Linked DNA regions of Notamacropus eugenii. The protein of the gene in region 1 interacts with the protein of each later gene in a biochemical or structural test. Links are inferred from orthologs where the notes say so. Each region holds a gene or a part of one and is shown in the gene's direction. Other genes may lie near its edges.

The links.
Region 2: the proteins of NOXO1 (region 1) and CYBA form a complex in vitro, tested with the Homo sapiens proteins (3 studies listed by IntAct). The link is inferred for Notamacropus eugenii from reciprocal best matches to the Homo sapiens genes NOXO1 and CYBA.
Region 3: the proteins of NOXO1 (region 1) and NOXA1 form a complex in vitro, tested with the Homo sapiens proteins (2 studies listed by IntAct). The link is inferred for Notamacropus eugenii from reciprocal best matches to the Homo sapiens genes NOXO1 and NOXA1.

The regions. Positions count from the first base shown.
Region 1 is NC_092872.1:48,352,954-48,363,310, forward strand, and holds NOXO1 (NADPH oxidase organizer 1), read left to right. Parts: upstream 1-5,406; coding exon 5,407-5,472; intron 5,473-6,195; coding exon 6,196-6,276; intron 6,277-6,488; coding exon 6,489-6,564; intron 6,565-6,768; coding exon 6,769-6,943; intron 6,944-8,023; coding exon 8,024-8,220; intron 8,221-8,774; coding exon 8,775-8,888; intron 8,889-9,171; coding exon 9,172-9,289; intron 9,290-9,407; coding exon 9,408-9,897; 3' UTR 9,898-10,020; downstream 10,021-10,357. UniProt on the Homo sapiens protein: Constitutively potentiates the superoxide-generating activity of NOX1 and NOX3 and is required for the biogenesis of otoconia/otolith, which are crystalline structures of the inner ear involved in the perception of gravity.
Region 2 is NC_092872.1:705,425,519-705,435,516, reverse strand, and holds the start of CYBA (cytochrome b-245 light chain), read left to right. Parts: upstream 1-6,062; 5' UTR 6,063-6,220; coding exon 6,221-6,278; intron 6,279-9,998. UniProt on the Homo sapiens protein: Subunit of NADPH oxidase complexes that is required for the NADPH oxidase activity that generates, in various cell types, superoxide from molecular oxygen utilizing NADPH as an electron donor.
Region 3 is NC_092872.1:493,494,850-493,504,819, reverse strand, and holds the start of NOXA1 (NADPH oxidase activator 1), read left to right. Parts: upstream 1-6,034; 5' UTR 6,035-6,193; coding exon 6,194-6,367; intron 6,368-9,970.

The DNA.
Region 1 (10,357 bases):
ACCTTAGAGATGTCCAGAAGTGGAGTGGGAAAGTGTGTGCGTGCGTGTGTGTGTGTGTGTGTGTGTGTGTGTGTGTGTGGAGGGCAGCTAGGTGGAGCAGTGAATACAGCAGGGACCCTGGAGTCAGGAGGACCCGAGCTCAAATTCAGACTCAGATACCTCACACTTACTAGCTGTGTGACTTTGAGCAAGTCACCCAACCCCAACTGCCCTGCCTCCCTCCCTCCAAAGCAGAAACAAAAGTGGGGTGAGGGGTGAGCTCCCTGGCAGAGGGAATCCTCCTGCAAACACTGGATGTTCCCCTTTCTGGTCCAAAATCCAGGTAACCTCCGTAGAACATGCAAGCTGTCTTTATAAAAGACCCAGACCTAGGAGTCAGAGACTCACATGACAAAGGCAAGTCACATCCCTTCTCTGGGTTTCAGTTTTGTACTCTATAAAATGGGGATAGTAACAAGTTACCCCACCTAGATCATAGGTTGATTTTTTTTTTTTGTAAGGGGAGATTGCAAGGTGTGATAGGACTATACAAAGGTGTGTTATTATTAAGTCAATAAGTATTTTATAAGTGCTTATAATGTGCCAAATAGTGCTAAATGCTGAAGGCACGATGCTAATGATCATTATTGTTGTAATAATAAAGACCATATTTTCTTCTTAACTTCTTTAATGGAGTACGGAAAGATAGAAAGGGTCTGAGAGAAGTCACTATCCTGCAATTATTCTTTTATTTTTAATGTTCTCCAGACTATAAAGGCAGGTAAAACAACTGCTTTTCATAAATGAATAAAACTATCAGAATATAGACTTATCTTTTTCTCTGCTTACATAAAATATCTTCTGTACAATCCCCATTGCAGACAGGATGATGGGGATGATATAGTCCATGTTGTTCATTTGTTTCAGTCATGTCTGACTCTTTGTGACCCCATGTGGGGCTTTCTTGGCAAAGATACTGGAGTGACTTGATATTTCATTTTACACATGAAGAAACTGAGGCAAACAGGGTTAAGTGACTTGTCCAGGATCACACAGCGAGTAAGTGTCTGAGGCTGACTTTGAATTCAGGTTTCTTGACTCCAGCACTCTACCCACTCACTGCTCCAGAAATGACATATATCTTGAGGATTGGATTTCTCCTTTCAGATGTCTATATTTTGAAAGTTTTTCTTTCCATGAAGTTTGGAGATTTTTTTTTTTTGACTATTGAGTTTGGTGATATCTATTACAAATGCTGTTCTTAAATTTTTATGGATCAAGATTATATCTGGGCAATTGTGGGCAATGGTTCTGTCTTTTATAACTCTCCAGGTCCAGTAGGATTAATTTGTTGAATTCTCAATATATCTTAGGATCTCCTTTGGTAGTTTATGGGTTTGTTTTCTGTTAGTTTATGAAGGATAGTGATTTTATGGTGTATAATACTGGCTACCTGATTGTGTATTTTTAGGCATTTGATAGGTGTTAAATGTTTGTGACTGCAAAAATACCCTAATAATAAATCCAGGCTATATAATAAAATAACCTCTCAGTAATTCCTGGTAACAATAACCTCGCTTCTTACCTCTGTCATAAAGCCCTCAGTTTCTGATGTCAAATCTGAATGACTCAGTCATTTGTTTACTGTGTCTTTATCTACTTGGCAGTTGAGTTCACATGGACTATTATTCATGGAAGGCCTTTTGGTTACAGTCTTGGAACCTAAGCCATTAGATTGTCCATTGTAAAGAAATAAAACCAGTGTTACTTTCATTCAAGAAATCCAGTGACGTTTACTCATCATCAGCCTTTACTGCTGCTCTGAGAAGTGGTATTTGTTCCAGAAGTATCTGTAATTATCTGTAACTGATGATCCTGATTGTGATATAATCTGGGAACTTCCATCAATCCTCTTCCTCCCTTTTGACAAGGAAGTGTTAATATTTCTAGAGATACTCTAAAATAGAGAGACCATTTGGCTGGGTTCACTGGGGCTAGGGCAGACTCACTCCTCCTTATCCTATGCCCAGCCATGCCATCAATTCCCCAGTCAGGGGAATTCTAGCCTCTGGTGAGAGGGGGCTCTCCCCTCTCACACTCATTGGCTTATTAAGTTTCCCAATGCCAGCCATTCAGAGATAATTTTTAATTATAGCAAATTAGATAACAACTCGCAAGTCTAGGGGTCCCCCAACGGGGCAGAAGTAAAAGAGGTTCTTAATGCACAGTATGAATCGGGGTATGGGACAGGTAGTTTATTCCTACACAGAAAGAAATGCTAAGCATGGAAAAATCACAGTGAGATTAGTAGGATTCAGTAAACCTACTGATATTTAAACCTTATCAAGATATATAACAGTTTGCAGGACTGCTAATTAGCCATTCTCCATTTCATTCTAGCTTGGCCTTCTGTCCCTGATAACTATCATCCTATATCTCTTCTGCCCTTTGTAACTAAATTCTTCAAACAGGCCGTCTAGGCTAAGTGTTTCTACTTTCTCTCCTCTCCCCTTCTTAACCCCTTACAGTCTGGCTTCTGACCTTATTCCACTGAAACTACTCTCTCCAAAGTTAGCAGTGGTATCTCAGCTGCCAGATCCAATGGCCCTTTCTCTGTCCTCCATTCTCCTCCACCTCTCTGCAGAGTTTGACTCTGTGGATCATTGTCTCCTCCTTGATACGCTCTTCTCTCTAGGTTTTCAGGACACCACTCTTTCCTGGCCATCCTTCTACCCATACAACTCCTCCTTCACTGTCTTCTTTTCTGGATCCTCTTCCAGGTCACACCCTCTCCCCATAAGTGTCCCTCAGAACCCTGTCCTGGGCCCTCTTCTCTTCTCCCTCTATATTATTTTACTTGGTGATCTCATCAGCTCCCGTGAATTCAATTACTATGCTGATGATTCCCAGATCTACCTGAGGTGCCCCAAACTCTCTATTTCCTCTAATCTTGCATCTCCAACTGCCTTTGGGATATCTCAGATTATTTGTCCAGTAGATACCTTCAATGTCCAAAATAGAAGTCATTATCTTTCCCCCTCTCCAATTCCTACCACCTTTATTACCACATAGGGCAATAGATCCTTCCAGTCTCTCTGGCTTGTAAACTTGGAGTCATCCTAGATTCCTCACTATCTCTCACTTCCCATATCCAATCGATTGCCAAGGCCTATCAATTTCATCTTTGCAACATTTTCCCAATATAATCCCTTCTCTCCTCTGGCACTGGCACCATTCTAGTACAGATCCTCACCACCTCAGATTGGGAATATTACAATAGTCCGTTGGTGGGACTGCCTATCTCAAGTCTCCCCTCACTCCAATCTATCCTCCAATTAGCTCTCACTGTGATTTTTCCTAGAGTGCAGGTTCAACCATGTTCCCCTACCTTCACCCCTACCCCTCACTCAATCAACTCCAGTGGCTCCCTATTGCCTCCAGGAGCAAATACAAAACCCTCTGTTTGGCATTCAGAGCTCTTCATAACCTAGGCACCCCTTACCTTTTCAGTCACCTTATGCCTTACTTCCAATACGTGGTGTTTGATGCAGTGACAATGGCTTCCTGACCGTTCTACAAAAACAGACACTCAATCACACATCTCTGGTCATTTTTTCTGGCAGTTCCCCATGCCTGGAACTCTGTCCCTCCTCTACTTGGACTACTGACCTCCCTGGCTTCCTGTAAGTCCCAACTGAAATCCCACATTCTACACGAAATCTTTCCCAATCCCTCTTAATTCTAGTGTGGTTTCTTTGTTTATTATTTATTCTGTAAGTAGCTCGCTTTGTGTATATTGGTTTGCATCTTGTTTCCCCTTTTAAATGATGTAACAGTAAGCACCTCAACATGCACAGGGGGGCCTCCTACCACAGGTTCTTAGATCTACATTCATAAAAGAAAAGCAACTTTCAAGGGGTTAACAATCACTTTAATTAAGCACAGGTATCAGAGAAAATCAGGTTCAAAATTTCAGAGAAAAGAAAATTCAACAGACAGCCCTTCCAAACTGCCTGACCACTAACATACATACATCTTTACTAGAGAGGGAAGCATCAACATCTGGATTTTCAAGAAGTCGATCACTAAGCCGCCAAAGTTAAATCTCACCCTCAGAGTATTTATACACTTTTTAGAACCAGAGGGCATAACTCTGACCCAGTGCCTCCATAGAAAAAACAAAAAATACTTGGGACGCTCCTACAAAACAAACTCCCTAATTAAGCTTTGAACTATGGGCATCAATGGGTGGGAAAGTTTCTCTCCAATCACATTAATGCAGTCAGAGGCCCTTTTAGTAAAACAAAAACAGCAAAAGATCCTCATTTGATTGCCAGTGTCTTTTGATCTGATTTGCTTGTCATTTGTCTCCTTTTATATCCTCAGTGAGTCCACGCATAGTAGGACCTTAATAAACGTTTATTGATTGATTAATTGGGCACTGTCCAATCAAATGACCAAGCTTGAGTCAGTCTGCTTTATACTAGCCTCTGTCTCCAACGCAGAAGTTTTTCTTGTCACTGTGCTGTCCCTATCACTATTCCAACTAATAGACATCTGGATTCTTAAAACTCACAAGGTCCCCTATACAAAAAAAGAAGAAACAGAAAATCAGGTAACCCAACCTGAGCTCGTTTGCTTACTGTGGGGGTGAGTATGAGATAGGAACAATTGCCCTATTGTGTCTCTGGACACAGTTCAAAACAGAGAATATAATTCATAGAGAGAAATGAAGAGAGGTACTGGGGGGGGGGGGGGTGTAGGTCATCCCTTTTGCCTATCTCCTGAGCTTGCAGCAATTCTGGCTATGCAGCCACTTAAGGGACTACTCATCGTATCACAGTGTGAACCCCTGAGTGATGAATGGCCAGAAGCAGGCCTCACAGGGTCAGCCAGGAGCAGGATGAGGAGAGGGGCATATGCTCTATAAAACCCATGTCACGCTACCTTCCCACGATGGGCGATGTGTTTCATTAATATCGTCATGGCTTTTTGTTTGACTAATTCTATTGCATGGATTGTTTGTTCCAAAAAATGTAGGTTGAGATAATTACTCTATGTTCTTCCTACTGTGCTTTGACTTTGATATTCCAATATGCTTTCTACTCTACCACAGCTGTCCTGGGCCCAGGTGTCCGAAAACTGAGAGAGGGGATTTGTCTCTCCTGCCAAACCACACCTAGAACAGTCCCCTGCTTCTGAGGCTCTGATGACCTACAGGAGAGGTCAAGAGTTAGAAATCCTGGAGACTCCTGGGGAATTTTTGCCTCCAACCTTGGGGAGATCTTCCTGGTAATAGGGAGGAGACAATCAAATTAGAAGCTGCCTGGCAGGCTGCCAGGAGGTGGTTCTCCTGAATCTGGTTCCGCCCTCTCTCTCCATCCATTTAAGAAGGTGATGAGGGCATAGGGAATCACACAGAACAAGATGACTGGTACCCAGCAGCTGAAGTGGGTTCGAGGGGTGGGACTTGTGCTGGGCAGGCGTCCTCAGGTACTGCTCAACTAGTTTCCTGGTACCTATTCCTTTCAGAGCAGTTTTTGTTTCCCTTAGATCTGTTTATTCTCTAGTTCCTCTGTTTCTTCTCCTCTACCTCCACCCTCCTTTCATCTCCCCCAGCTGGGACTCCCTGTTTTCCTGCTTTTCTGTATCCTGGTCTCCCCTGTCCCTCCATCTCCGCATGTCTCCTTCTCTGACTCTCACTTTCCTGATTCATTCTCACATGTATTCTCCTCATTCCTCTACTCTCCCTTCCACTTTCTCCCCAAACCTGGCTCTTCTCCTGATCTTCCCATGTGCATCTCCACATTCTCCCATCCTTCACTCTCTGCCTTCCCTCTTTGTTGCTCCCATCTCTGTTTTACCCATTGAACTGACTCTCCTTTCTCATCATACTCATCACCTTGTCTCGACAGTCCCTTTGACTCCTCCGTGACCCTTATCTCTTTTTCTTCCCCCACCTAACCCCCCCCAAGTCTTTGTCTCTTCCTTTTCTGTCATGGTTTCTCTTTTCTAGACTTGGGCTAGGAACATGTTTGGGTATGTGACAGAAAATGAAGCTGTGTATACGTGTGTGCAATTGGGTGGGGGTCAGCCCTCTGTACCCAGCCCTGTTATAGGGCAGGAAGGATGTTTCTTGAGCTAGATAAAGGAGGATAGGGCTGTGGTAAGACCAGAATCCACTGAATCCCCTTCCCTCAACCTTCTGCCCCTTAGATGTTCATCCTCTCCGTGCTTTGGTCTGATGGCAGTGACAGCCTCATCTACAGGACCTTCCAGGAGTTCCGCCAATTCCATGTGAGACACCATCCTAGCCACAGCCCCATGGGATCCTCAAGAATCAACCCCTTTACCCTGCCTGATCCTGGGATGTATACTTAGGTTGCATTCTGGGGGCTACCTAATGACTGCCTTGAACCTAGGGGCTCCCTCCCAGCCCATCTGTTACCCCTTCATCACCTAACTCCCTTATTTAAAGCCCCCCCATGACCCTGATTCTATCTTCTCAGAAAAGACTGAAGAACTCCTTTCCCTTGGAGGCAGGTTTGCTGAAGAATTCAGACTGTGTCCTCCCCAAGTTTCAAGGTTAGGGGACTGGTGAAAAGAATGGGATAGGTGGGTGGGGGATCTCTGGGCTGAGTGGACCACTAGGCACTGGGCCAGCCTGAGAAAGGGTCCTGGGACCTCAGGGTGTGGGATCCCATAGGAAAGAAAAAGGGAGCTCTAGGGCTCAGGGCTGAGGGGAGTGGGGGGCCTGGGATTTCACAGGAATCTCTGCTTTTCCTATAGATGCCTCAGTACTCCCCAGTGGAAGGACACGAAGGGGACTGACCAGGTTACGGCTGCTAGAAGCCTATTCTCAGAAACTTCTGGAGGTCACAGAGATGGTATCTCAAAGTAAGGTGGTCACTGACTTTTTCCAGCCCCAGCCTGGGGACCTGGAGCCTGTCCTGCCCCACAACAGGTATTTGTGAGTCCCCATATGCTCAGTCTTCCTAATCAGATCAAGCTTTCACTGTCCACCCTGTGAAGGTTTAGGGGTGGGTGAGATCACAATGACTGAGAAAAGCAGACTCATATAAGGACACAGAAAATGGGACTGACTGGGGAAGCTGAGAGAAGGGAAGAAAAGCTCTGCATGGGCTGCATCAGGAAAGGTTTATTGGAAGCGATGGGATTTAAAAGGCCTCAGAATTATTTTCCATTCCTAAGAGGCCCAGTGTAGAATTCCCTCTACATTCCCCTGTAATTGTACAGCCTCTGCTTGACAAGGCTCCCAGTGACAGGACATTCACTGCCTCCTGTTCCATGTCTAAACAATCCTGTTAAGTTCTTCCTTACAATTGGTGGGAATTGACCTCCTAGTAACGACTCTCCCACTCTCGAGCATTGGTCCAACCAAATTCTGCCATATGAGACCAAGCAGAACAAGTCTAGCATGGGGCAGTGTGGTATGGTGGACAGAGAGCTAGCTTTGAAACCCAGAAGGCCTGGGTTCAAGTCATGCCCTGACACATACTGGGTAAGGCTCTCTGACACTATAAGCTGTTGACCTCTATTAGTAACAGGAATTCCCCTTTATGTCAATGAAATCGCAGATCCTTGACTTGTCCCCTATCCTCTTCCACTGAACAACTCTTCTAGTATTTGCAGGTGTTAATTACGCTGTCAGTCTGGGGAACAGCAGACCAGAAGGAAGTCAGAAATGACTGGGAGGTGGATTAGGGCTAGTTTCTCAGGAATGGGTAGGGCCAGGCTAAGAGAAAGGGGAGGTGTAATAGGAAGGCATTCCAGATAGGAGCCAAAGACTGAGCAAAGGTCCGGATGTGGAAATGAATCTGACATCCTCAAGGATGGCAAGGTATGAAAAAGAGGTGTTGCTAGATGGAAAGTTCAAATGTCAGTCTAAGAAGTGGGGAGGAACTTCCACCGGCAGAAAATCTTGTACAGGGTGTAGAAAAGTCCCAATTCCAGAGGGTTAAAGCTAACTCATCTCAACTGTCATCTATGTCTTACCTTGCTTATCTTGGGTCTTTTCTTAAAGCTTGGTGATCGTGCCCTCTCCTTGGGAGAGACCAGAAAGGAGTCCAAAGAAGCCCCCAGTCCTAGAACCAGACATCCACACCCTGGAGGCCCAGACTTTCCGGTGTCTTGATAGCTTCAGTACTCAGGACACCAGGGGCAGGTCCTTTAAAGCTAAAGCTGGAGAAGAGCTGGATGTGTTGCTTAAAGAACCCACAGGTGGGAGGGCTTGGGGGACTGTGGAAGGGGGAGGACATGGAAAAGATGTAAAGATGGGGGCCTCAGCCCTGGATCCTGGGGGAGGGAGACTTTCAGTTGATGGAGATCCTAGAGAGACAGGGGGTCTTAGCCTAAATATCCTATCCTTGTGTCCCTGTTTTTTGGGGGAAAGAGGACAGGAACCCCAAGGAAATGGAAGTATTAGCTTGAGGGGATAGGGACATTCAGGGGAAATACTTTTATTCCTGGGGGACCCCAGGGGCAGGAGAGTCTGAGCCTTTGGGAAGGAATGGGAACTCTTAGATGGGGATCCAGGGGGCAAGGATAGGTTCTTTAATCTGACAGCGGAGCAAGATCCTTCAAATGTTGGGAATTCATATTTGATAGGGAGAGTATGTCCATGTGTGCCCATGCATACATGTCAGTATCAATAAGTAGTTACCTCCCTATTTCCTTCCTAACCCATGTAAGTAAAACCTGTTCCCTCTTACTTGCTGAGTTTTAGGGGTCGGGTTGTCTACATCCCAGTATAATCTTCCTTCCCCACTCCCCAGGCTGGTGGTTGGTGGAAAATGAGGACAAACAGATAGCTTGGTTTCCTGCACCCTACCTGGAGGAGGCATCTCCAAGACAGGGATGCAAGGAGATGCCCCAGATACCCTGCAGTGGTAAGTGCCCCTGATCTTGGTCTGGACCCCTCCTTTCTGTGATCCAACCAAGGGAGGGGGAAGGAAAGTGGCCAGTCTCGCGCTGGGATCTGTGCCCAGCTATGTTCCCCATCTGTAAAACAGATGATCTTTAGAGCTCCTCCCAGCTCTGAACCCTATGACCCTGCATGGCTGGGTAGGATAAGACATCCTCCTGGTCAGGCTTACCTTAGTCTCCCGATATTCCTGGGGACCACCCCAGGAGGAAACAGCATCCTGGATCGCCCCTTTCCACCCCATCCAGGGCTGACGTTCTGCACCACCGAAGCTTACAAGAGCAGCCGGGAGGACGAGCTGTCCGTGCCCACGGGGGCCAGAGTCACCGTGCTACAGGAGTCCGAGTGCGGCTGGTGGCAGTGCCGGTGTGTAAGGGTGCAGGCTGGCTGCGCACGGCGGTGGGAAGGGGAGGAGGGGAGGAGGAGGTGCGGCTCTGCCCTCCCCAAGCTCCGGGCGTGTGTGTGACGGCTCCCCCCACCTCAGGTACCGCGACCGCCTGGGGCTGCTACCAGCCGTGCTCCTGTGCCCGGACCCCATGAACACCAGCGGACTGGGCGTGCTCCTGAACGCGGCCCCGGCCAACCTGGCCCCAGGACCCTCCGGCGGAGCTGAAGCCGAGCCCGACGAAGGCCGCCTGCCCCCGCACCCCCAGCCCGCCCCTCCCACCAGCCCCAACTCAAGCTCAGACTCGGGCTCGGGCAGCGACGAGGGGGAGGACTGCAGTGCCATGGCGGGCACCGGCCCCACACCTGTCGTACCCCCCCGGCCCAGGCGAGGGGACATCCTGCGGAGGTGCTGCACGCTGACCCGCAAGGCCCTTTTCAGTCCAGAGGCACGGAAGCCTCCTGGGCCAGCGCCTCCTGCACCTGGCCCACCCTCGGCCAAGCCACTCCCAGCCACACCTGCTTCACCCCATCCCCCCAGCCAGCCTGGCCTAGACTCCCAGATAAATCCTTCGGATACCAGGTTATGAAGTTCTGCTTCTCCAGTGGCAGGATGTCTGCCTTTATATTAGAGGCCTTGTCCCTGTGGGATTTAGTCCTGAATGGTTTTGTTTTTAATTTGTACGTGTGTAAATAAAGGACCCTTTCCAGGAGTGGGCCAGCAGAGCCTGCCTGCTTTCTCCCTCACCACCTCCAAAGTGAAGGTCCCCAGACCCCAACCTTGTGTTTCTGACCTATGTGACTTTGGGTTCACCAACTGCCTCCACAGAAAAGACCTGAGTTCAAATTCTGCTGTCGCTTTCTGCCCTTATAACCTTAGTCAAAAATCACTGGTCCTCCTGGGCCTGAGTTATCTGAGAGGTCTGTATCAGAGGGTTTCTTAGACCCTTGATCTGGTGCCTCTAACTGAGCTCCTGAACACTCAGGCAGGTTTCCCAGTCCATCTTTTATCTCCTGTAGAATACCCAGACATCCTGGATCTCATTTGTT
Region 2 (9,998 bases), about 660 Mb from region 1:
AATCCACAGAACACCGCATGAAAGAGATCCAAAAAGAGAAACTCCTAGGAACATTGTGGCCAAATTCCAGAATTCCCAGGTGAAAGAGAAAATATTGCAAGCAGCTAGAAAAAAACAATTCAAGTATTGTGGAAATACAATCAGGATAACACAAGATCTAGCACCCTCTACATTAAGGGATCGAAGGGAATGGAATAGGATATTCCAGAAGTCAAAGGAACTAGGACTAAAACCAAGAATCACCTACCCAGCAAAACTGAGTATAATACTTCAGGAGAAAAAATGGTCTTTCAATGAAATAGAGGATTTTCAAATTTTCTTGATGAAAAGACCAGAGCTGAAAAGAAAATTTGACTTTCAAACACAAGAATGAAGAGAACCATGAAAAGGTGAACAGCAAAGAGAAGTCATAAGGGACTTACTAAAGTTGAACTGTTTACATTCCTACATGGAAAGACAATATTTGTAACTCTTGAAACATTTCAGTATCTGGGTACTGGGTGGGAGTGCACACACACACATGCACACACGCACACTTACATAAAGACAGAGTGAATTGAAGAGGATGGGATCATATCTTAAAAAAAAAAATGAAATCAAGCAGTGAGAGAGAAATATTGGGAGGAGAAAGGGAGAAATTGAATGGGGCAAATTATCTCTCATAAAAGAGGCAAGCAAAAGACTTATTAGTGGAGGGATAAAGAGGGGAGGCAAGAGAAAAACATGAGGTCTACTCTCATCACATTCCACTAAAGGAAAGAATAAAATGCACACTCATTTTGATAGGAAAACCTATCTCACAATACAGGAGAGTGGGGGACAAGGGCACAAGCAGGGTGGGGGGGAGGATAGAGGGGCGGGCATGGGGAGGAGAATGCAATCCAAGGTCGACACTCATGGGGAGGGAAAGGATCATAAGAGAATAGAAGTAATGGGGGACAGGATAGGATGGAGGGAAATATAGTTAGTCCTATACAACACAACTAGTATGGAAATCATTTGCAAAACTACACAGATTTGGCCTATATTGAATTGCTTGTCTTCCAAAGGGAAGGGGTGGAGAGGGAGGGAGCTAAAGAAGTTGGAACTCAAAGTGTTAGGATCAACTGTAATGTTCTTACCACTAGGAAATAAGAAATACAGGTTAAGGGGTAAAGAAAGCTATCTGGCCCTACAGGACAAAAGAGAAGACGAAGACAAGGGCAGAGAGGGAGGATAGAAGAGAGAGCAGATTGGTCACAGGGGCAATTAGAATGCTTGGGTTTGGGGGGGGGAGGGGATAAAAAGGAAGAAAATTTGTAACCCAAAATTTTGTGAAAATAAATGTTAAAAGTTAAAAAAAAAAAAGTGCTATTGCATCCTTTCTTATCTAGTGTTCTGTTGAAGGGGGAAGTGTTTCTATTTGTATATTCCTGTGATAATTTGTGTTCATCACGATGACCCTGGAACTCCTACTGAATCTTTGATGGAAGATATGATTATAATCAGCCTTGTCAGTGCTCCCATCCAACAATTAGTCATCCCGTACCCCCTTTCCATGGATTACCAGGCCAAGTATTTAATTATCCAAGACATTCCATTTTCTAATTATGGTGGACGATTACATTTGCTACTTAAACAGTACTGTCATCATGTAAATAAACTGAAAAAAATTAAACTCCAAAAGGATTCTTCCCCTTTACCCCTTGGGAGTTGCAGATCAGGGAGAGCCAGTGGCTGCAAAGGTAGAAGCAAAGGACCAAGAGATCCAAAGTGCCTTGATTAGTGGCCATGCAAATGTGCCAAGTAAAATTAGGCTCTGGTCACACGTCCTCTGGGGATAGGTTCTGGATTAATTTTTTTTTCCCAAGTGAAAACAACACTTTAGCCGTCAATAATTCAGACTGTGATTCCAGAGACCCAGTTCCCTCTGTATCTTCAATTAATGATACAATTAAGCTGTTTCTGTGGCTGTAAAAAGTGGCTGGTGGTTCTACTATTATGGTTGGTTTAGAATTTCCTTTCAGAGAGGGAGGAGGAAGCAGCAGTGGCTGTGTTGATCCAGCAGCAGCAGCACCAACCTGGGCCTGTCTGAGTGCTGCCCTCCCCTGACCCTCCATGAGCCAGACCTCCATGGCACTGCCACCCCCCCCCCCACCCCTCCCCCCGTCACATCTATGGAAGTAATGGACAAGCTCCTGAACCTGTGTGGATCTTCTTTCCACAGTCTTGGGAGATTGTTTCATGGCTAATAATGTTCCAGTGATGAGTCTACCACAGCTTCACTGATCTAGTTTTTGGAAGACATAGATTCCACCAGACCTGGCACATAGCTCATTGGCAGAGCAGGAAGGCAGACAGTCATTAGCTGCAGGGAAATTCGAAGAGGCCAATTTGTGTTACCAAAAGGTGGCCGCATATCTTTCTGAAGCCATGAAGCTTACATGGTCTGAGCAGGCTCAGTTATCACTGGAATTACAAAGGGATAGCCACATGAAACAACTCTTGCTTATTTAGGAGAGGTGGAAAGGGGCAGAATGGGAGGAAAGGTGGAAAGCCCAGCAGAGTCCTGATGAAACCCCTCATCTTCCGATGTCAAACAGGCCTCTGGCTGAGGATAGGTCTGAGGGCCCAAGTGTGCCCCTGTCTCAGCAGTTTAACCCTGCTGCAGTGCCAGGGTTCTCGACAGGGACCCAGACACTCTTCTTTTTCTCCTTCAGAAGAGGAAAGATCTGACAGAACTGTGTCCCGGCAGCAAAGTCCCCAAAGATAACAAAACAATAGAAGAGGAGGTAACTAAGATTGCTGATCTGAAGCGAGGTACGGAGTTTCTTGTGGCCAACAATGAAAGACTGAGGAGAGAAAACAAGCAGCTCCAAGCTAAAAAGGCCAGGCTCCAGAAGGCTCTACCTGAAAAGGAATTGGATGTAGATGCTGACTTTGTAGAGAAATCAGAATTATGGAGCCTGCCTCCCCCTGCACAGACTGCCACAGCCTCTTCTCCCTGAAGGGAGTTTGCAGCCAGCACAGGAAAAGTCAAGGACATTCCCATCCCCAACCTTCCTCCCTTGGACTTCCCATCCCTAGAGCTCCCTGAAGATATTCTAAAAGGACTCATGAACAGTTAAATGAAAGGTCACAAGGGGCTAAAATGGTGATGGTGAGGAAGAGGAAATCTACAGTGAAAACAGCAAAAAAGGAAAAACCATGAGGCTAGGGACAGCCCGGGCCAGGTGGAGGGTCACTGGACAGACCAGTGTAGGAGAAAAGGCCTGGCCATGCCCTCGAGAACAGTTACTATGAAGTACACAGCACAGCCTGAAGAGTACGGAGTTGAGGAAACTGGGGGTGGCAAATGCCAACCTCCCAAGGGTCTCTCCTGATTCAAACCAAATGGTGACCTAGAATCACTTTCTTCAAGCAGCAATTATTTTCCCTCTTAATTTCAGGGTTATGCTATATATAGTAACTAATATATAATGCCATAAAGGATAATGCAAAATCGAAATAATACAGGAGCCCAAGGGTGACCTTGTATTGGAAAGATGCTTTCTGTCATGCATTGACTGCATGCATTTTGTTATGCACAATTTATCAATTCTGATGAGGTGTGTTGGTTACATGCCTTCCTAGATGATCCCATGTGTGCCACACTTTGCACTCCTCCTAATGCGATGATAACCTCAAGACTATCAGGAGAAATGTTTAAATTTCCACTTTAGGAACAAAAGAACCAAATTATTAGTTCTGCTTTTTTTAAATTATCAGTTTACATAATTAATCAGGGTGCATCATAAGTTTTAACTTTCCGTTTGCTGTATTAAAATGTTATGCATCATTTAAAAAATACCCAAGGAATTATCCCTTTGCTTTGAATGGTGCATGAATGGAAGTAATACTAGTTGGCAGTATTTGATTGCAAGAAATCAATAAAATGTATTTTATTAGAATTTCCTTTTATTTAGTTCCTTCTCATCCCTCATCACCTCAGATATCCACATTGTCCCTGTGGGGTCTTCCAAACTTACAAACTACAAAATAAAACACAAAAGGAAGCATTAACTTCAAAGAGAAAGGGTAATGGGTGTAACATCTCCCTCTTCTCACTGGTGTGACTCATGCTACACCACAATCAGCTGAGAATTAATCTTTCCTGTCTTGCGTGGGCATGGGTGGCAAAGGCCCTTTTCACAGGGCAAATGTCTCTACTACTGTTTATTTAAAGAAGGGAATCACCAACCTGGTGGAGGGTATTCAGTTAGGAAGTTGGTCTGGATTAGGGGATCTTAACCTTTCTTATGTCCTAGACCCCTTTGGTGACACTACTGAACCCTGTGGACCCCTTCTCAGAGTCATGTTTTCAGATGCATACAATACATCCCAAAACCAATTATGCTGAAATACAATTATCAAAAAGTTTGTTTAAATCACAAACCCCCTGAATTCTATACATGGACTTAACTCTATGACAGCAAAGGTGTAACTCTTGAGATTCTCATATTTTAGGGTTGGCCACATAGGCATCTTTGTCTACCACCAGTTTTTCCCCTGCTTTGTAAAGGACAGAACATTTTGGAAGTAAGGAAAGGGTGACCAGGAGGCTCATGTTTCATGGCAGAGGCAGGCCAGTGCCACAGAGCTGTTGGCCAACACTCCAGAGAGGGGGCTGCCATCTTGAAAAGGCTGCCCTATGTCTGGAGAGCCTTCCTTCCTTACTTCTGCCTCCTGGTCCCCCGAAGGCCCCTTCAAAGTTCATCTCAAGTGTCATCGACTTCAAGAGAAATCTTTCCTAATTCCCAATTACTGTTAGTTTTTTGTAGTCCGTATTTTTGTCTGTTGTCTCCCCTTGTTGGATGTAAACCCCTAAAAGGCAGGGACCACCTCAGTTTAGTATCTGTATCCCTATCTTCCAGCACAGTGCCTGGTACACAGTAGGTACTTTATAAATGACTGGCAATTGTTTTTCTTAGAAGGATATTGGGGGTGGGAAGGGCTATTTTAATAAGGGTATAAAATGTGTGGTAGCCTAGAAAGGAACTACCATAGTTCATCTGTCCCTTCAGGAAATTGGTCAACTTCCCACACCCCAGGCCTAGAAGAGCCCCTAATCTCTTATGTTGGTTTCTTTAGCTGAGGAACAGCCCATTTTTAACTTAGGTCAGTGTTCCTGTTATAATGCATTATCTCATTTGTTCCTCAAAACAACAAAACAACAATGACCTTTGAGGACCTTAGTTTCCTTATCTAGAAAATGAAGAGATTGGGCTAGATAAACTCCAAAATCTGTGGGATGTAGAAGTCCTAAGAACTGTTGCTGTGTCTACCTTGGTAGTGCAAGCATTATGACCCCCTTTCTCCCAGGTCATAGAGTCAGTAAGTGACAGAGCCAAAACTGGGTCCAGTGTCTCCTGACTTTCCTTCCTCTGCATCAGGGATCCCATGATGTGGAAAGGAGAATGGCACTGGAGATGGGAGTCCCGACTTTGAATCCAGGCTCTGTGACGGTGGCAAAGTCACCTGTTGTCTGAACTTCAAGGCTTTGTTGCGTCAGGGAAGGGCTGTGTTGATCTGAGAGTGACCCTGGAGAATGGAGAGGGATGGGGCTGCACAGAAGCGGGAGTGCTTATGTGTTTCTCCTTGTTTGGAGATGGCAGTTTGGGCTAACAGAGAGAGTGGGCCTTCAAATAGGCTAAACCTGGGTTCCGGTCTCACCTCTGACACTGGGCAACTAGTTAACTCTCTAAGACTCTAAATGGCAGAAAGGTGCCCACCTGCAGTGGTAGAGGGAGTATGCCCCTCTGGGAGTTCCCAGTAGCCATGAACTGATCCCAAAGCAAGAGATTCGCTCGGTGCCCTCCCAGGGCAGAGGCTGTCACGACAGGAGTGGCTAATGTGAAGGTCGGGGTTCAGGAGTGGGTATCACTCCGGGGATGGGGGAACCTGGAGAGCAGAGCGGCGCAGAGCCAAGGTGCGGGGTCTGCGTGGGGCCAGGACGTCAGTTAAACAAGGGTCCGCTCGATCGGATGCGAGGTTGGGGGCGCGGGCAAAAAGAGTGGGAGGGCAGGAGGAGGAGGAGGAGGAGGGCAGGAAGCGGTGCCCGCCCCGGGGCGGAGCACAGGGAGAGGCGGAGTTGGGTCCGGCCGCTGGGCGGGTCAGTGTCGGGCTCCCGCTGCAGCCGCTGCCGTCTCTCCTCCTCCTCCTGTAGCTGCGGGCTCTCTCCGGGGGGCCGCCGCCCGCCGCTATGGGCCAGATCGAGTGGGCCATGTGGGCGAACGAGCAGGCTCTGGCATCTGGCCTCAGTGAGTGGGGACGGGGGCACCAGGTGGGGGCGGGGGCGGCGTGGCCCGTCTGCCCCCTGAGGCACTGCCAGCCCTGTCCCCGCCCCCACCGGCGGCCCTGGGCTGGAAACTTTTTCTGTTGTAATTTAACTTTGAGAAGCCCTGAGTGACTGTCCCGGCCGGAGGAGTGGGGGGCCGGGATGGGGGGAGGCCGGGGATGGGGGGGAAGGAGGGATGGGAAGGAGAGAGGGGCTGCAGAGAAGTGTCTAAAACTTTGTGTGGGAGGGAGAAGAGAGATGAAAGAGGGGAGGAAGAGGGGCGAGACCGAGAGGCAGAGAAAGGAGAGGGAGAGGGAGGGGACGGAGAGAGAGAAGGAGGGAAAGAGGGAGAGAGGGAGACAGAGAGAGAGACAGAGAGAGAGACAGAGAGAGACGGAGAAAGGAGAGAGAGAGAAAGAGAGAGAGAGAGAGAGAGAGAGAGAGAGAGAGAGAGAGAGAGAGAGAGAGAGAGAGAGAGAGAGAGAGAGAGAGAGGTTGGTTTGATGGTTAGAATAGTTTGCAGCGCGGAGATGTGCCCAGGGTAAAGGGGTTGGGCGGGGTGGGGGTGGGGGGGAGGACGCGGACACCACCAGGCTGTGAGGGGAGGGGAGGGAGAAGGAGGGAGGGAAGGGAGTTCTGGTCCGAGGTTAAGCCACTAGGGGAAACACAGAAAACAGGGACTCTGGGAGTACTCATCCGCCAAGAAACACGGGAGCCCCCCTCTCTGCCCCCTCTCCCTCTAGTTGTCTTTAACTTTGAACTTGAGGAAGACAAGTCAGAAGGAAACTGCCTCTTCTCGATTGAGGAAGTAAAAATAAAAAGGAGAAGTAGGTGTTTCTCCCTCAAATGGTCTTTCCTCTTCCTTGTGGGTTCTGGTTGGGTCACCACCCTACTGCTAAGCCTGGGAAAGCCCCTGTCAGCTGCTGTAGCCTCCTGTCCTCTGTGAGGGAGAAGTCCTCTGTCTTCAGCTTTGCCTCCTGAGGGTCCCCCTGTGATCTGAGAGGCAGAGGCCCCCTTTATAATCAGGACTGGGGGATACCCTGGTAGTTGAGGGGCATGGAAGCATATCCTACAGCCTTCCAAAGGCCCAACCACAGTCTCTGGCTTAGAGTTCCCCAAACTCTTCCCCCAAAACAAACACCTCCAAATCCTATGAGCCACCACCTCGATATAGATGCACACATTCACACAGAGCAAAGAAAGAAGCTATTTGTGACCTGATCTAAAATTCTAAGATTTAGTGCTAGAAGGAACTTCAAAGAGCAAGTCCCATTTTACAGCTGAGAAAACTGAGGCTTTGAGGATTAAAGATTTTGAGGCTCAAAATGACAGGGCTAATTAAAGTCAGAGGTTGGATCTGAATCCAGGTCCTCTAAATCCACACACAGCCCATGACTGAGAATAGCCAGGGTGAGATCAGCCTCCTCCTTCTCCCCTCTGTACTGCCAGCAGGCTGTGTGGTCCATAAGATGGCAGAGTCATAGAATCTCAAAGCTAGAAGGAACCTTAGACGTCATGAAATCATTGGCTTTTCGAGACCAGCTAAGGAAGAAGCAGCTCAGAATTTCCGCTTTCTTTTCCCACCTTCCAGGAATGCCCTGGAAACACTGTCCTGTGTTCTCTGCCCCTCTCTCACTTTCCCCTCTTCTTCAGAGATCTGATCTCGCTGACTTCAGTCTGTCTGAGTCTGAATGTCAGTGCTAACTCACACTCTCCCAGAGGCCTTTGGAGAGGGAGCCTTCTCCTGTCCTTTCCAGAGAGGAAGGGGCTTTCTCCATCGCTGTGAGAAGTATCAGGGGAAGGGGATAGGGGAATGTGGGAGGGAAGATCCCTTACCTTAAAGCTTGCCTATTCAACCTACTTAGAGTTGAGAAGCCTTGGGACAAATGGGTTAAAGCATCACCCCCAAAAGCTAAGCTTCTGATTGCACCCCCCTTCCCCCCAGCTTCACCCTGCCTTGAAGCCCCAGTGATTCTCGCCCTGCAGGAAAGATTGAGGTGCCCAGTCTGGCTTGCTTAGCTCCTCAGGGCATAAACTGAGCTTCAGTCTGAGCTAGTAGGTGGGTAGGTGAGTCCTTCTTGGGAAATGTGGGTCCATCCCTGAGATCTCAGCCAACTTCAGTTCTAAAACCTGTGATCAAGGAAAGCCTATGAGCTGCTGCGTCTGTTCCGGTAATGCAAGTCTCATTTACCCCGTTTTACAGACAGTGTATGACGTAAAGCCCAGGCCATAAAGTCAGTTAGTAAGAGGCAGAACCCAAATTGAATCCCAGGGCTTCTGGCTTGTAAATTTGGTTGTACTTTGTACCATTGTAGGATCTTAAACCAGAACAACTCTTAGTCAGCTTGGTCATTAGGATCTTTTTCCCCGTTTTTTTGTGTTTTTTTTTTAATTGTGAAGGATAATCATTTCTTAGCTTCCTAAGGCATTGTGCCTGGCAAGTAAACTGGGGAAGAAAGAAAAATTCTTTGAAGATTCTGAAATGTAGAAGTCAAGAAAACAAGGAGTTCCCCCCTCAAACAAATGGTAGCAGTTGAATGAAGATCAGGTTTTTTCATGATCTGAAATCTGTTTGGACTGACTGCTTAAATTTCTTTTCCTTTTAAAAAAATGAAATTGTATTGAATCCTTCGTTTTTATGTTGCCTAGAGTTACTCCTTTATTTATTCCTCCCTCTTCAGTCCCAGAGAGCAACCCCATGTAGGAATTTTTTAAAGGGGAAAAAAAGAGCAAAACTGATAAATGCAGCAAAAAAAATGTGAACCTATGTGTCGATTTCCACATTCATTGTCCATCCCACCTTTGCAAAGGAACAGGGAAAGGCATCTTCTCCTAGCTTTTCCTGGGGGCTAAATGCATAGATTTTTAATGTATACCTCTGGTGAGCCATAACCTTTTTTTTAAAAAAGCCTTCTGTTGACACTTGTTTCATCACTTCTCAATAATCATTCCAACCTTAGAACAAAGAAAAGAGTTAAGCCTAACAAACCAACTCATTGAAAGTTCCTGACAGTATAGGGACTATTCTCTACCCCTAGTCCACCACTTTTCTATGGAGAAGAAGAAAGTATTGAACTACCATGTAAGCTGGGCAGCAGTAGGCACTTGCATGGTTGTTTAGCCATAAGACAAGAGGAGTCCAGGGAACAATCTAATCCACTTGGTTCTTACAGGAGTAGTGTTCTGGATTCAGTGCTAGCCTGGTCTTGATCAAGGCAATGAGGATAATAATATTTAACATCATCTTCTTGAGAATGGTGGGGCATCCTCATTTCAGCTCTGACTATGGGCTGCTCCCACTAATTTTTATTTCCTTTTAGTTTTTATTCCCTCCCTTGAGCACAGTCATTGGTACATAGTTAACAAACATTTATTGACACACTGTGTAGTCAGCTAAGGATTCCTGCCTTGGATTTTAGCCCTTTCATGAAGAGGACCCAGATAATGCCCAGATTTTGGCTGTGTTGCCAGAAGTGTCAGCTGGTTAAGAGTACTGGTCTGAGACTGGGAAAATTTGAGTTTGGGTCCTACTGCTGTGCGAGCCTGAGCAAATCCTCTCCCCTCTCTGAGCCTAAATTGCCTTAGCTCTGGAATGAGGACTCTTGCCTGGCTGACTTCATGGAGTGGGTGGGGGAAAAGTGCTTTGTAAACCATTATCAAAGTGTACGTTACTTTAGCTTTTTGTCTAGACTTGTGATTTCTT
Region 3 (9,970 bases), about 450 Mb from region 1:
AGAGAGTGGGATAAACAGGGGGGAAATAGGATGGAGGGAAATACAATTAGCCATCATGTCTGTGAAAAAAGAATTGTGAAGCAAGTTTCTCTGATAAAAGCCTCATCTCTCAAATATATAGGAAAATCAGTCAAATTTAAGACCTGTTATTCAATTGATCAAAAAATAAGAACAATCACTTTTCAGAAGAAGTAATCAAAGCTGTCTATAGTCATATGAGAAAATGCTTTAAATTACTATTGGTCACAGAAATGCAAGTTAAAACCATCTGAGGTACTATCTCAGACCTATTAGATTAGCTAATAGGATAAAAACGGAAAATGACAAATGCTGAAGGGGATGTGGGAAAACAGATACTAATGCACTATTGGTGGAGTTGTGAATTAATTTAATCATTATGTAAAAAAACTGGGAACTATGCCCAAAGGCCTACAAAACCACGCATACCCTTTGACCTAGCAATATAACTACTCAGTCTGTATCCCAAATGAGATTTTTTAAAAAAGGAAAAGGACCTATACATACAAAAATATTTATAGCTGCTATTTTCTGGTGGCAAAGAATTGGAAATTGAGGAGATGTCCCTTAATTTGTGCTTTAAGAAATGATGAGCAGGATGCTCTCAGAAAAACATAGAAAAGACATGGAAAAAACATGGAGAGACTTACATGAACCGATGCAAATGAGCAGAGCTAGGAGAACATTGTACACAGTACAGCAATATTGTATGATGATCTACTATGAATAACTTAGCTATTCTCAGCAATACAATGATCCAAAACAATTCTGTAGAACTTATGATGCAAGGTACTGTCCAGCACCAGAGAAAGAACTAGTAGAGCCTAAATGTAATCAAAGATACTCTTTCTTTATTTTTCTTGAAGGTTTTTTGTCTGTGTTTTCTTTCACAGAATGACTTACAAGGAAGTGTGTTTTGCATGACTATGAATATGTATAACCTATGTCAAATTGTTTGCCTTCTCAATGGGGTGGGGAGGGGAGGGAGGGAGAGAATTTGGAACTCAAAATTTGGGGGGAAATGTTAAAATTGTTTTCACATGTAATTGGGAAAAATAAAATATCAAATAAGTTTTTTTTTAATCAACAGGAAAAATTAGTACTAAGAAACGTCTCCTTAAACTGTTTTACATGCACTATATTTAGTAGTGATTAAAATTATTTGGCTAGAATTGGAAGAACTCTCAGAAATTGTCTAGTACAATCTTTTTACTGAGATGCGCTAAGGTGAAATGATTTATGATCAAGCCTGCCAGTTAAGGACTGCACTAAGAACCTCATTCTTCTGCCCCCCACGTCCAGTGTTCTTTCCAGTATACACACACAAATAGCTCTTTTAAATGTTAAATATTCTTTCTGTGGTCTTTAGAATCAGAGCGCGTAAAGCTAAATGGGATCACAGAGACCATCTAATCCAACCTCATAAGTGACTTTGCCAAAAGTCATAGAGCAAGGCAGAGGAAAAGACAAGCCTAAAGCCTGAATCTGCTGGCTCCCAATTGAGGCACCTTTCCACTAAACCATTCAGCCACTCTGAAGAGAACCATTCATTTGCCAATAAGTACTTTTCTTTACGTGTGGGACTAACACAAATTTCTGGCCAGCCCAAATATAATGGAAAGAGTCAAAAAATCTGGTTCAAATATTGGTTATCACTTACTACTCTGCAAGTCCCTAAACCTCAATTTACTGATCTGAAAAAAAGGGGGGGAGGGGAGTTGGACTGGATGGCCTCTGGGGTCCTGTCTAACGCTGAATCTGTAACTACATAAAATAACTAGAAATTCTAAAATAATACAGGCTCCACAGGTTCTTTCTGCATCCTGCCTATCACTGTTAGAAAATGTTAAATAAAATGTCAAAAAATGCCACAGTACATTTGGACATTTAATTGAATTACACAGGCTGTGCCCTCAGGGACAGACGCTGCTCCCGGTACGGACGTTTGTCCGTCCTTGCGGCAGAGGGAATCAGGCTGAAGCAGGGAGGGCTGCGCCACAGGAGCCATGTGGGGCCCGGGGCCGGGGCAGGTCAGGACAGCTGGAGACGGGCTGGCTGCAGGGGAGACCTTGGCCTCGGCTGTCTGAGGCAACACCCGTCCAGTGGTTAGGGCAGGTAAGGGATGGGGCAAAGAATGGCCTCTTTCACCCATCAGTCTGGGAGAGGAAGACCCTCAGGGACGGCGCCAATACAGACCCAGGGGCTCTTCCTGGTCTCTGAGTCCGGTGGGTGCCACCAGGGTCCACACCACTGTCCTCCCAAGACTGCACTGACACCTTACGGCCACGCTGGACATGGCAGCCCCGCTGAGACCTGGATCCTCGTCCCGCTCTCCACGGGGGGTTACCCGCACGTTCTTTCCAACAATCTCATACCCAGGCACCGACGGGGGCAAGGCTTTGTTCTGGGCTGGAAAGAACGGGGATGGCACAGCAATGGCACAGCCCCTGCTCCCAGGGAGCTTTCAACCCAGCAGGAAGGAGGACACCCAAATACATAAAAATACAAGCCAAAATTTGGTTGTGTGGAGGGGTCGAACAAAGTGTTCTGAGAAATTAAAGCAGAAGGGAAATCAAGACTTGGGGAGCGGGGGCTGGGGGAGGAGGCGCGGAGGGACGGGAGGGAGGGGAAGGCTTCTCGGAGGAGGCGGCCCCGGGGCTGCACGGGGTCGAGCCGAGGATGCGTCTGGGCGGTGACCGCCCCGGACCACGCCCGGAATCTGGACGCTCCCTCGGGAGCTCACCGGGCTCTAGGAATTGGGACCCGGGGCCGAAGGCGGGGGAGGGGCTCGGGGACCCCTGAACAGACCCCCCCATCCCCCCAGCCTAGCAGCCCCGTGGCCCCCCACAATCACACGGTCCCCTAGACCCCTCCCTCCGACGCCCCCACCCACACCGCCCGGAGGCTCCCCAACTCTTTCACACAGGCGCCCTGGCGGGCCCCAGAGCCGCGATCTCCGGGCCAGGGCCCTCCGGGCCCCGTGTCCCCACGTCCCCGTGTCCCCGTGTGCCCGCGGCCACTCACGTGGAGCCGGCGTTCGGAGCCCGCGGGGCGGCGCCCTCTCCCCTCCCGGCAGCGGAACGTCGGCGGCGGGGCGGCGGCGGAGCCGTGCACCGGAATGGCGCCGGACCGCTTTTCCGGGGGCACCGAAGCCGGGCCGAGCGCTGCTGAGGGCAGGAAGGCCCCAACGGCACCCCAGCGGCTCCCCAGAACTCGGGCCTAGCCTGTGGGCGTGGACCGCTCCGGACCGGGAGGCCCTGTGTCCCCAGCGGCGGGGTGGGGCCCTCCGGGAAGTGCCGACCTGGCCGCCGCCTGGTGCAGCGCCCTCAGGGGCCCCCACATCCTGTCCTCTTAGGCCCCCCATGTTGTTCCCCTTAGCCCCCCCCACTCGTGTCTCGGAGCCCCCTCATATCGCGGCTCCTCGTGCTCCATCCCTCTAAATCCCCCCTTATCTTGTCCCCCCAAGAGTCCTTCCACATCCTGATCCATTAGTCCTCCTGCATCCTGCCCTCTCAGCCCCCAGAGACTCCGTCCTCTGCCCTCCTAAATCCCCCCAATCCCCTACACTCTGTTCCCTGCAGGTCCCCCCACATCGTTGTGTTCCATCCAGTCTTCCTGTATCCAGCCCCCAGCCCCCTCAGTCCCTCTACACCCTGTCCCCCCAGCATCTCCCCACACTGTCACTCTAAATCCCCCATATTCTGTTCCCTGCAGTCCCCCCACTCCATTCAGTCTTCCCATAGTCTGTCTCCTCAGTCTCTCAACGTTCTATACTGTTTCCCTCAGACAACCCCCACCATGGCCTTATTATTCCCCCCCAGACCCTGTTTCCCTTCCACTCCCTCCTCCAGGCCTCAACCCCCTCAAAGACCCCCTCTGTGCCCTCCCCCACAATCCTCATATTTCAGATACCCAGGCCCCCTCCTGAGACCTTCCCCCTCAGAGCTCTCCCACCCCAGATTCCTGGGGAATCCCAGGCTAGAAACCCACCTCTCATGCTGACTAGCTCTGTGACCATGGGTCTACATGACCTCTCTCAACCCCAGTTTCCTCTTTTAGAAAATATGGGTGATGATACCGGTAGTATCTGCCTCACAGGGTTGTAAGGATCCAAAGAGACTGTGTAGGATGTATGTGTGTGTGGGTGTCTACACACGTATATACATATACATACATATATATACTGTCATTATTACTATTCCAGCCACCGAGTCTCCTCCAAATATCCCAACCCAAAAAAGGACTAGAGTGCTACCCCCTCATATACAAACATTTTCTTCCATGTTAGACTTCTCGCTCTACATCCCTAATTGGTCTCCACCACCCCAGGGACATCAGATACACACACACACACACACACACACACACACACACACACACATGCACGTTTACGTGTCTCCCTAACATGCCCTTGTTCACCTCAGAAAGAGATGGTGGGGGCGGGAGAGGAAAGAAGAAATAGCATTGTATATAGCACCTATTGTGGGCCAGGAACAGGGCTAGACACTTACAGATATCTTATTTAGCCTTCACAACAACCCTGAGAGGTGGGTGCTGTGTTATTCCCACTTCACAGTTAGGGAAACAGACAAGCTAAGCAACTTGCTCAGGGTCACTCAGGCTGCATTTGAAGCCCAGGCCCAGTGCTATATCCACTCTACCACCTAGCTAACCAGGTAGAACATGAAGGACTTTGTTCTAAGCACTCGGCTGAAATTGGAGGATATAAACGGGACCCAGCCTCAAAGGCTTATATTCTAGTGGAGAAAGACTGTGTAAAAGGAAGTTGAAGTGGGAGGAGAAAAACCCAGGCTGGGGCAAAGGTGACTGGTGAGATGACTAGTAAGGACAGAGAAATCCAGATTTGCTGAGAGTGAAGTGAACATGGCTGGGGCCCCTAATGAAATGGTGGTTGTGGCTAGGGACACAGCAATCAGCAAAGCTGTCCTCAGAGCAGAGCTATCTCCAGTGTGAGATTGCTACTGAGGAGAAGGTGGAGAATTCAGAGTGAATGGAGCCCGAAATAAAGAGCATGGGTGCCCCTAATAAAATACAATCTGATAGGACCCAGTCCTCTGAAGCCTATTAGATCTAGAATCAAGACTCCTGAATCCATACAGGTGCCTTGATTAATCTTCATATACCAGATTCCTCTTAAAATAGCTCTCCCTGCTACACCCCATATCTCAGAGAATTTCCCCCATATTATATTCTCTTCAGGCCCTTCAGAGACCTTCATCCTCTTGAAGTCCTCACCAAATGCATTTCTATTCTGTCTTTTTTTATAACTGCCCTTCTGTCCTGTCCCACCCATATACACACATAGCCCACTCCCCTCACAGATATTTTTCCACACATGAACCTTCTCTCCCCTCACCCCATCTGCCTCATCCCCATGCATAATTCCTCCCCATCCCATGACCATAAAGTAACCAAATGAAATCCTTTTCCATTTTAGTTAGTAAACTTCAATCTGATTATTGTTTTCAAATCTAAACTGCTTCCTTAAAATACTCTCAGCTCATGACAGGGACTTAAATGTGAAGGAGGACAGGGGCAGTGGCTGTCAAGTCTTCCTAAAAAAAAAAAAATGAACCAGAAGCTTCTTGTCCTCCTCTGTCCTTTAGAGATGGGGCCAAGACCCTCCTCCCCCTCCCACAAAACACGCATCACACAGAGCAGCTTGATAGCAGGTGTTTCATCACTCAGCTCTGCCACAGGTAGAAACTACAGGTGAGAGTCTATACAGAATATGAAGAGCTGTCTAAAAGCCAGACATTTTATCATTATTCATAGCCCACCCCCACAACAGCCACTGGAAACAGGATCTTTTCTCTAGCTCTAAAAGACAGGTGTTCCCCAGACCTCAGCACCTGAAAGATCCTTTCAGCCAGCCCCCTTTCACTCCCCTTTCCACACACACACACACACACACACACACACACACACATGAATACACACACACACATACCTCCACCTCTTACTAGGTAAACAGAAAGGGGCTTTACTTCCTGCTCAGCCCAGATTCTCACCCTGGTAAGGCTGCCTTCTAAGGAGTGTCAGGCACAATCCTCTCACAACCTCACAGCTGTAAGGTGCTCAGTCAATACCTTCTCAAAGAGCTCTTTATTTCCCCCAGGGTAGCTAGGCCAGCTCCACTGTAGGGTCATCCTTAATGTCATACAGTGATTTGGTGAAGGGCTGGCATGAAGCTGTCCAGGCTGTGGATAGGAAGGACTGGGATTTGGCCTTGGAACTATTCTCCAGAATTGAAGAGCCTTCTTCCAAGATCTGCTTCAACATGGGCTGTGTGCACCTGCTAACTGGAAATCCAGAGGCAGCCCTGCAGGTGAGTGGGCAAAGGAATGGGAGGGATGCTAGTGAGGCCTAGGATTATATCCCAAACCTTATAGCTCAGACATCCAAAGCCTGAGATCAGGACGAATTAGCACCCCAACCTCCTGAGTATCCTATAACTTCTAGAAAAGATGGGGTCATGGAGATGTGAAAGGAGAAAAGAGAGAATCTGAATGAGAGGAGGCCATTCACTCAAAACACACCCCACCAGGCACACACTGTATTTCCCAATCCAGAATTGACTGCTCCCAGCTTCCCCATCCATAAGGGCACAATATGGGGTAAAGAGAGTCAGATCTAAACTAAAATACAATGACTTACTTGGAAACGTGTTTTGTATGACTACAGATGTATAACATGTCATATTGCTAGCTTTCTCAATGGGGAAGAGAGGGGTAGGGAGAGAGAGAATTTGGAAATTTGAAAAAAGGATGTTAAAATTGTTTTTATGTATTATTGGGGGGAAATAAAATATTAAATTTTTTAAAAAGAAAATAAAGTTCTCAAAAAAATATAAAATGCAATTAAACCAAATATTTATTGAGGTTGAATCTAGTAGCACCTGAAGTTTTTGCTTCCTTATGAGACAGTGTCCGATCCATCAGTGGGCATATGGATGAAGCCATTCTGAAAGACAAACATGAAGCACCATGCCTAGAACAACAGATACTTAGTGAATGTTTGTTGAATAGAGTTGAATCAGATGGACCAGGGAATGGTTCTCCAATGTTTCCTACTGGTGCTATAAAGAGACTAGGCAAATCCACACAAAATATTTTGGCCATCTTCTTGAGTTCCCATGGGTGATAGGAATAACTTGAAAGTTGGAATGGGTATGCAGGTGAGGATGACAAGACAGGCTGAGAGGAGAACAAACATAATACTTAGAATATAACCCAACCATAAAAACTTTAGATGCATTCTGGCCCCTTTTCCATGCTGTGGGCAGAAGATGTTTTAGTCATATTGGTTTTTTAATACATCTCATCTCCTAGGCACACTACCCCCAGGACTGAGTCATGTTCTTCTGTGGTAAAAGATTACAAGAGTAATTGTGACTATGGAATTCTAGTTCCTATTCCATCACTTAATTGTGACCTCAGGCAATTCAGCTTCTTTGAACCTCAGTTGTTTTATCTGAATGATGTGGATAATAATCCTTTACCCATTTAAATTATAATTCAATAATCATTTATTAATCAAACAATCAAAATCAATCAAAAAGAACTCATTAAGGGTTTACTACACATCAGACACTATGCTAAGTTTGGGGATACAAAGGAATGCTTTAAAAAATCCCTGCCCTCAAGAAACTTAGATTTTAATGGGAGAGTCCACTTGTAAATAACTAAGTAGATCAATATATCAGTTCTATTAGGTTCCTACTATATGCTAGGAACAAGGAATACACATAAAATAAATTTCAAAATGCCTGCTAGAAAGAGCTTACATTCTAAAGGGAGAGAATAATGACATGTATAGATATATACTGAATAAATGCAAATAAATCCAAAGTAGACAAATACAAGGAAACTTGAGAGAGGGGACACTAACAATTAAGATAAGCTGGAAGGGCTTCCCACAGAAGGTGATATTTGAGCTCCACCTTCAAGGAAGAAAAAAATTCTATGAGGCGGATATGAGGAGAAAGTACAATCCAGGTTGGGGCACAGTCAGTGTAAAAATTATGGAAAGGGGAAATTAAGTGTCCTGTTTGAGAAACTGAGAGAAGACCAGTTTGTTGAAATCACAGAGTGGAGAAGGAGAAGCTAAGTTCAGTGAGACTGGAGAAATAGGTTGAAGCTAGGTAATAAAGGGATTTATAAGCTAAACAGAAGAGTTTATACTTTATTCTTAAGACAGTAGAGAGCCAGTGGAGTTGACTGAGTGGGAGGAGTGTAAAAGTCAGAACTATACATGAGAGCGATCACTTTGGCAGCTGTGTATGGAGGATATACTAAAGCAGAGAGAGACTAGAGATAGGAAATGCAGTTAAAAGGCCATTGCCATAACTTGGGTGAACAGTGATGAGGACTTGAACTAAAGTGGGAATTGTGTGAGAGAAATGTTGTTGAGGTAAAAATGACAAGATTTGGCAGCTGATAGGATATTTGGGGTAAAGGAGGATGAGGCATCCATGATTACACCAAGGTTATGAATCTAGGACACTAGAAGAATGACAGTGCCTTCAACAAAGATCTCAGAGTTCCAAAGAGGGATGGGTTTGGACAGAAAGACAAGTTCTGTTTTTAACATGCTGAGTTTGAGATGTGTCTGAGAGATCCAGTTTGAAATCTCCAATAGGCAAGTGAATTGTGCAGGAGCAAAGCCCAGGGGAGAAACTAGGACTGGATACGGGGGCCAAACAGAATTAAGTGACTTGCCCAGGGTGACGCTTCTAGTAAGTGTCTGAGGTCAGATTGAATTCAGGAAGATGAGTTTTCCCGATTCCAAGCCCAGTGCTTTTATCCACTGTACCACCTAGCTGCCACATTCATCTGCATAGAGAAGATAATTAAACTCATAGGAGCTGATAAAGTCATTCAGAGAATGTATTAAAAGACAAGAGTAGAGGACCTAGGACTGAACCACGGGGAAAAACCCACAATTAAGGGAAGTGAAGTGGTTGATGAAGCAGATGTACAGTCACGAAAAACATATTTCCTTGTTAGTCATGCTGTAAAAGAAAACAGAGATTAAAAAAAGAAGAAAAAGTGAAGTATGCTTTAATCTGCATTTAGACTCTATCAGTTCTTTCTCTGGAGTTGGAAAACATTTTTTATCATGTCCTTCAGAACAGTCTTGGATCATCTGTATTGCTGAGGATAGCTAAATCATTCACAGTTGACCATTATATAATATTACAGTTACAGTATACAGTGTTCTCCTGGTTCTTCTGTTCATTTCACTTTGCATCAGTTCATGTAAGTCTTTCCAAGTTTTCTGAAAGCATCCTGCTCATCATTTTTCATAGAACAATAGAATCACATACAAAAATTTGTTCAACCTTTCCCCAATTGCTGAGCATCCCCTCAGTTTCCAATTCTTTGCCATCACTAAAAGAGCTGCCATAAATATTTTTGTATGTATGGGTCCTTTTCCTTTTCATTTTTTAATCTGTTTGGGATGCAGACCTAATAGTGGTATTGCTTGATCAAAGGGCATACACATTTTTATAGCCCTTTGGGTATAGTTCCAAATTGTCTACAGAATGTTTGAATCAGTATATCACTTCACCAGCAATGTATTCATGTCTCCATTTTCTCACATCCCCTCCAATATTTCTCTCATATTAGACAATCTGATAGGTATGAGGTGGTAGCTCAGAGTTGTTTTAATTTGCATTTCTCTAATCAATAGTAATGTAGAGCATTTTTTATGTGACTATAGACAGCTTTGAGTACTTATCTGAACACTTATTGTTCATATGCTTTAACCATTTATCAGCTGAGGAATCGCTCTTATTTCTGTAGATTTCACTCAGTTCTCTACATAGCTGAGAAATTAGGTCTTTATCAGAGAAACTTGCTATAAAACTCTTTTACACTTATGTATTTCCCTATATCCTATTTTCTCCCTATTTATCCTACTCTTT